Linked DNA regions of Callithrix jacchus. The protein of the gene in region 1 interacts with the protein of each later gene in a biochemical or structural test. Links are inferred from orthologs where the notes say so. Each region holds a gene or a part of one and is shown in the gene's direction. Other genes may lie near its edges. The genes, in order: VDR and HR.

What was found.
Region 2: the proteins of VDR (region 1) and HR form a complex in vitro, tested with the Homo sapiens proteins (2 studies listed by BioGRID and IntAct). The link is inferred for Callithrix jacchus from reciprocal best matches to the Homo sapiens genes VDR and HR.

What each region holds. Positions count from the first base shown.
Region 1 is NC_133510.1:2,140,240-2,143,198, reverse strand, and holds part of VDR (vitamin D3 receptor), read left to right. Parts: intron 1-199; coding exon 200-351; intron 352-544; coding exon 545-661; intron 662-2,018; coding exon 2,019-2,278; 3' UTR 2,279-2,959.
Region 2 is NC_133514.1:19,357,021-19,361,392, forward strand, and holds the start of HR (lysine-specific demethylase hairless), read left to right. Parts: upstream 1-1,383; 5' UTR 1,384-1,682; coding exon of another isoform or gene 1,683-1,787; 5' UTR 1,788-1,963; intron 1,964-3,176; 5' UTR 3,177-3,220; coding exon 3,221-3,832; intron 3,833-4,372. Other genes in the region: protein HRURF, read left to right, coding at 1,683-1,787. UniProt on the Homo sapiens protein: Histone demethylase that specifically demethylates both mono- and dimethylated 'Lys-9' of histone H3. May act as a transcription regulator controlling hair biology (via targeting of collagens), neural activity, and cell cycle.

The sequences.
Region 1 (2,959 bases):
GCACAAGGTCACAGTGTTGAACTGTTCTCACTTAAGGAACACCCTTGTCCCTTCCAGCCAGGCTGCCATCTCCTTGATGAAAGACCCAGGGCATATGTTGGTTGCCCAGCAGGTGTATGCCTGTCAAAACACTAAACTGATTTGTGTGGCTGGACGGTCTTGACTGGTAACCTGACCTCCCTCCCTCCCTCCCCTGCAGAGACCTCACCTCTGAGGACCAGATCGTGCTGCTGAAGTCCAGTGCCATCGAGGTCATCATGTTGCGCTCCAATGAGTCCTTCACCACAGACGACATGTCCTGGACCTGCGGCAAACAAGACTACAAGTATCGCGTCAGTGATGTGACCAAAGGTATGCCTGGACTTCAGCTCTGCCCCTTCCAGCTCCCAGGCTCCGGCTCCACCCGTCCTGGGGTCTGGGCTCCAATCAGACACGTGGCAGGTGGCTGAAGGGAGAGAAGGGCGAGGGTCTGGCCCATCGGGGCTGGAGGTGGGTGGGTGGCTCCGCAGCTCTGCCCATAGTACCTGGCCATCGTGTCTCACAGCAGGATACAACCTGGAGCTGATTGAGCCCCTCCTCAAGTTCCAGGTAGGGCTGAAGAAGCTGAACTTGCATGAGGAGGAGCATGTCCTGCTCATGGCCATCTGCATCGTTTCCCCAGGTATGGGGCCGTGCAGGGAGGAGCTCGGGGACCTGGGGAGTGGGGAGTGTGAGGGGCTGCTGAGGGCCGGCTGGGCAACCTGAAGGGAGAAGTAGCAAAAAGAGAGGCAGAGAGGAAAGGGCCTATTGTGCTGGCTTCCAGCACCCCTGTGGTGTGTGGACATTGAGGAGCCCCTTGCTGCCCTTGGCTTTGCCTTACAGAGTTTGCAGGTAGGATTCTGAGGAACTAGGGGCGATTCACAGGGGATTCTGAGGAGCTAGATAAGTCGGGTTCCTGCAGGTTCCCGATGCTCAGGCCCTACTCTTGTGTGAACCGGGCTCAACACTGCTGTCATTTGAGGTTTCTCAGGGGCAGGGTACAAAACCCTGGAGTCTGATAGATGATTCTGCCTGGACAGTTGACCTGATTGATTCTGGAGGCAGTGTGCTGTGATCCTTGGCCTCTTCTGCTTATTAGGGGTGAGAAGGGGGAGAAAAGGCTCAAGAGGAAGTTACCGTAACCTTGGGGACGTCATGTCGGTCCCCAAAGAGGTCCAAAGAGGGGCGGCCCTGCCTCAGCCTGTGCTGTGCTCAGGGGACAAGCTAGTGGCCTCTGGCCAGGGATGCTTTCCTGGACTGGAGGCTCAAGAATGGAGGTGGACCCCATACCCCTGCCCAGCAGCGTTCACTCACTCATTCATTCATCCACCTAGCAACAGTTTACTGAGCACCCATCAGGTACCAGGCTCTGTGCTGGGTACTGGGTGCTGGGATTCAGCAGCAAACAGGACACAGGCCCCTCTCCCATGAAGCTTAGGAGGAAACATTAAAGAAATGCTATCTAACAACTAATTCCTAACATGGCATGGGTTTTAAAAATCAAGGAAATGATACCACAGAGGGGTAGACTAGAAGGAGGGAAGCCGATGTGGTCTGGGCCATGGAGGCAGTGTGGCCAGGAATGGCCTTTTGGAGGAAGACCTTTTAAGCTGTTACCTGAAGGATCAGTAGGAGTCTGGCAAAGATAGCAGAGCACAGTTCCAAGCAGAGGGAACACAGATGTGAAGGCTGGTGGCCAGAGAGCAGGGCACATCGGGAAGCTGAGGAGTGGACGGAGCATGGACAGGGAGCAAGGCCAGGCAGGGCCAGGGCCAGGGCCAGGTGGGCCCATGGAAGGACCTGGGACTAGATCCTAAAGGCAAGGAGAAGTCTCTGAAGGGCTTTGGGGCCGAGCGGTGGTATCACCGGTCAGCGGCCACAGAGGGGTGGCCTAGAGGGAGCTGCCATTGCGTGTCTGTGTGGGTGGGAGGTGGCGGGACTGAGCAGTGAGGGGCCCACCTCAGACCTGCTGTGCCTTCTCCTCCACCTCGTGCCCACAGATCGTCCCGGGGTGCAGGACGCCGCGCTGATTGAGGCCATCCAGGACCGCCTGTCCAACACGCTACAGACCTACATCCGCTGCCGCCACCCGCCCCCAGGCAGCCACCTGCTCTATGCCAAGATGATCCAGAAGCTGGCCGACCTGCGCAGCCTCAACGAGGAGCACTCCAAGCAGTACCGCTGCCTCTCCTTCCAGCCCGAGTGCAGCATGAAGCTCACGCCCCTTGTGCTGGAGGTGTTCGGCAGTGAGATCTCCTGACTAGGGCAGCCGGCGGTGGTGCCCGGGTGGGGCCGCTCCTCCAGGGCCACATGCTGGGCCCGGGACTGGCAACTACTCAGCAGCCCTCCTCACCCCCGTCTGGGGTTCAGCCCCACCTCGGGCACCGCCCCTGTCCACCCGGCCCATTCTCTTTCCTGTCCAACTCAACCCCTTTCCTGCAGGCCGTTCCCTGTTCCCTGGAGACCTCAGCCATGAGCAGTTGTTGTGTATTTGACAAAGAAACTCAAGTGGGGGCAGAGGGCAGAGGCTGGAGGCAGGGCCTTGCCCAGAGATGCCCTCACCCCTGCATAAGTGGCTGCTGACTGGTGTCAAGGGAACAGGCAGGAGAAATGCATCCATTCCTCAGGGACAGAAACACCCACACCTTCCCCCACTCCAGGCCCCCACGTCCAGAGCCTGGTGGGATCTCCCTCTCCTGCCTACTCATGATAACTAATCCACCCACAGCTCCCACCCACCCTGACCTTCAGTGCCCACTGTCGTCCCACCCTGACCTTCGGTGCCCACTGTCGTCCACTGCCCTGGTTGTACTCTCACGGGCAGTAGCTGTGGTGAGATGGGCCTTCTTCCCATTACTGGAGCCCCAGGCACAAACCCACCTGCTGAGAGACCCAAGGAGGAAAAACAGACAAAAGCAGCCTCACAGAAGAATAGTGATGG
Region 2 (4,372 bases), on another chromosome or scaffold:
CCACAGAACTGGCCTCTGGGGGGAGGCCTGGGGTGGGCTGAATCGATGCCAACACGGCCCTAGTCCTGTCCAGTGCTAGCTGCTTTAGGCCCCCTCTCCCCACGACCCCACTCTTCTCAACTGGTAGAAGGCTCCAGGTCTTTGCTCATCCTTAGGAGGAAGGCTTCTGGCTCTTCAGGGCTCTCCTCTGTAGGGATAATGGTGTGACTGGGGACCAAGCTAGAGGTATCCAGAACCCATCACTTTCATGGGATGGGAAAGAGGGGGTACAGCTTTGGTCCCAGGCAGGCCAAGGAAGCCTTCCGAAGGGGCAGGGAGGCAGGGGAGCTGAGGGTGGGAGGTGGGTGCCTGAGGGGAAGGGAAGCACCCGTTGGGCGTGTGGGTTTCTGTGTGAGTCTGAATCTGTCTGTGTGTGTTTGAATCTGTCTGTTTGTGTCTGCGCTGGAACCACCCCCGCAGAGGAGCCGGGATGCTTCCTCGGGTGGAGGGTGCCCTGCTTTTCCATTTCCTCTCCTCCTCTCTGCGCTCTCCTGGGAGCCACTCCCATGGGCACCTCTCCAGCGCCGGGCCTGAAAGCACCAGGAACCCTGGGGATAAGCAGACCCTCAGAGACCCGGGTCTGGGGCCAGTGTTGGAGCTCATCCTGGCCCATGACCTCTCCAGACATTTGGCGAAATCAAGACCCTTAGACCAGGGACAGACCCAAGCCCAGGCCCTCCCAGAGGTCCTAGGCCACAACCCTTTGTGCCCTTGAACTCTGGAAGGGGTTTGGGAAGGGTTTGGGGTGGAAGATGGCAAAGAGCCGCTTGGCCAGGTGAGGATGAGGCAATACAGACACAGGCCAGTGGGGCGTGCCATGGGCCAGAGCTGGAGAGGACCAGGACCCAGTGGCCAGGCAGGCACAGTCCGGCTGGCGTGGGCCAGAGCGCCCATCACTGACCCGTGAGAACCCGACTGCCCTTGCCAGCTCTGGCGCTGCCCCCTCCCAGCCGCCCCACCCTAGCACCCTGGGGGGCACCCCGCCCACCGTGGCCTGGTCCGGCCCCTCCCGCCCTTTGCTCCAGTTTTCCGGGCTTGGCACCTATAGTGGGGGTGCCGCCCGCCTGCCAGGCTCCGGGGCCGGGCCCACGGGAGGGTGGGGCGGCTGGGAAGCTGGCACGCTGCCCCGGGGGAGCCTCTCTCGGCAGGCGCCCGGGTGCCGCGGGGGGGAGGGGGAACAAAGGGCTCATTCTCCCCGTGCGCAGCCGGTGGCATCGCCGGGGCGTTGGCGGAAGCCCCCGGGGCCCGGGAGGGGGCAGGCCCAGACGCGGCCGCCGAATCACGGGCTCCTGTTTCCCGCAGGGTGCTGGAGGAGGAAACCGGCGGAGCAGCTTCCCCACTCTCAGTTGCGCGTCTGGCGATGGCGATCAGAGGTCCTGCTGCGCTCTCCGCCGCGCTCTTCCTCCATTAGCCGCGCTGCGCGGTGCTGCGCCCTAGCCGGTGCCTCTCTCCTGGGTCCCGGGATCGGCCCCCATCCAGGCACGACCCCCTTCCCCGGCCCCTCGGCCTTTCCCCCCACTTGGCCATCTCCGACCCGGGGCGCGTGTTCCCCCCGGCCCGGCGCCTTCTCTCCCTCCGGGGGCACCCGCTCCCTAGCCCCGGCCCGGCCCTCCCCGCGGCGCAGCACGGAGTCTCGGCGTCCCATGGCGCAACCCACGGCCTCGGCCCAGAAGCTGGTGCGGCCGATCCGCGCCGTGTGCCGCATCCTGCAGATCCCGGAGTCCGACCCCTCCAACCTGCGGCCCTAGAGCGCCCCCGCCGCCCCGGGGGAAGGAGAGCGCGAGCGCGCTGAGCAGACCGAGCGGGAGAAAGCGTTCTTGCCCGCCGGCCGGGAGGCCCCGGAGACCGCCCATGGGGAGCAGGCGCCCAGTGCCGGCCACGACGACCGCCACCGCCCGGGCCGCGACTGGCCGGTGAAGCCCAGGTAAGCGACAGAAGCGCGTAGTTTGGGGACACTTGTGGCAAGGGTTTTCTGAGCCGAGTGTGGTGCCCGCAGGGAGTGAGCTCCCCAAACCCCTCTGGGTTGGGCCACCCATTCTGACACCTGAAAGTTAGGATGCCCGACAGGGCCAGACCACGGTGGAGCAGTGGCTCCAGAAAACCTGGGCGCCCTCTGCCACTGCTCCGTCACCTCCCGCCTGGGGCTTCCTCGAGCTGGTGGAGGAGACCGTGCCAAGAGAGCGCTGCCGCTCTAGTGCCACCTGTCATCCTGGTCCCTTGCACGCACGTTCAATTTTCCCTCCCTTGCCTCTCTCTGGGGCCCAGCCCGCTTTCCCCGCCTCCTTCCCTCCCCACTCCCCGCCGGGCTGAAGTTTCCAGCGGCGGTGGCGGCTACACTGGCACTGCTGGCTGGGCTAGGGCAGCTTGACCCATCCAGCTGAGGCTTCTTAGTCCCCCTCCCCTGTGCTGGCGCGCTGCTCTTCCCGCTGGGGGCCAGGGTGGAGATCCTAGCCCCGGGAGTTGTCCTGGGACTCTGCTTGAGAAGCCGAGAAACTGCAGAGCTCTGGGAAGAGGCTGACTCAGGGCCGCCCAGGTGTAGGGAGAGACACAGCCAGCAGCCCTGGCTGGCAGCCCTCCCCATGACTCCAGCCTGCCAGGCCCTCACTTCCCACAGCTACAAGCCTGGCTGGGGTTATGGGCTAGGGTCGGGCTAGTAGCACTCACAAAACCACGGATTGCAGGACGGGGAGAATCTTCTGAGATGTGACCCAAGCCTCAAGGGCACACTGAGGTCCAGAGGAGTGACATGACTTGTCCAAGGCCACACAGTACAGGACAGTCAAGGCCAGGATCCAGCCCTTTTCCAAGTCCAGTGCCCTCCCTTTCTGTCCTCCCTCATGGCTCGAGCAGGTTTCAAGCCCAGTGAGGCCAGGAGGTGTCCGACTAGCAATGGCAGCCTCTGCTGAGGGGTGCTGGCCCAGGTGGCATTTGGGGAAGAGGTGATATTCCCACACTGAAGGAGCAAGATGCGTCAGGCTGCATGTGAAGAGGCAGCATGGTGCCCAGCTGTGGGTTGGCACTTGCCTTACTGGTTTGAGTTGCCTTGTTTCTGCCAGGGCGGTGCCCACTCTGTGGCAGGCGGTAAGGTGCTTGGGGCATGTGCCCCAGAAGCTCATGCTTTGATGGTTATGCTCCAGGGACCCCCCCCACTCTGGGAGAGCCCCATGAGGGCAGGAGAGTGATGGAGAGTACGCCCAGCTTCCTGAAGGGCACCCCAACCTGGGAGAAGACGGCCCCAGAGAACGGCATCGTGAGACAGGAGCCAGGCACCCCACCTCAAGATGGCCTGCACCGTGGACCGCTGTGTCTGGGAGAGCCTGCTCCGTTTTGGAGGGGCGTCCTGAGCACCCCAGACTCCTGGCTTACCCCTGGCTTCCCACAGGGCACCAACGACAATCTCCAACTTGTGGAGGGTGAGAGCACCCAGAATGGGGAGAGGAAGGCCAGCTGGCTGGGCAGCAAAGAGGGACTGCGCTGGAAGGAGGCCATGCTTGCCCATCCACTGCCATTCTGCGGGCCAGCGTGCCCACCTCGCTGTGGCCCCTTGATGCCTGAACCTAGTGGTGGTCATCTCAAGAGTGACCCCGTAGCCTTCCGGCCCTGGCACTGCCCTTTCCTTCTGGAGACCAAGATCCTGGAGCGAGCCCCCTTCTGGGTGCCCACATGCTTGCCACCCTACCTAGTGTCTGGCCTGCCCCCAGAGCAGCCACGTGACTGGCCACTGGCCCCGCACCCCTGGGTATACTCCGGGGGCCAGCCCAAAGTGCCCTCTGCCTTCGGCTTAGGTGGCAAGGTGAGTTCAGGGGCAGAGAGGGTACCTGGGGCTCTGGCCTTGCCAAGTAGCTCGGGTGGTCCCCAAGCTGCCCTTCCACTGTGATAAAAAGGGAAGGCAGCACCAAGGTAGAGGTGTCCATCAGCTCGGAGCTGTCCCAGGTCCCACAGCCAACCCCAGCAAGCCTTCCCATGAGAAGCTCCATCTTTAAGCCTCCCCTCCCCTCAGGTCATTGCAGCCGCTGACTCACCCATTGTCTGCCCAGGATAAGGTCCTGGGAACTCTGGCCTTGGAATGTATGGCTTCTCCTGGGAGGAGATGGGCAGGCTGGCAAGGCCACTCTATCTGAGCGTAGGATGTGCAGGGGACCCCATGGCCCGTGTCTAGGGCACCTCCCCCATAGACTACTCCCACTCCCAGGGATGAGATTTTAAAAGACTTAAAACGCAGTATGGCACAGGACACCAAACAGCCTGAACACACCCGGGATGCCATTTGGCTGTGCCCGGCGTTCACCCTTTAGTGCTAGATTTCGGGGAAGCCTCAGAAATCCTGGGGGAG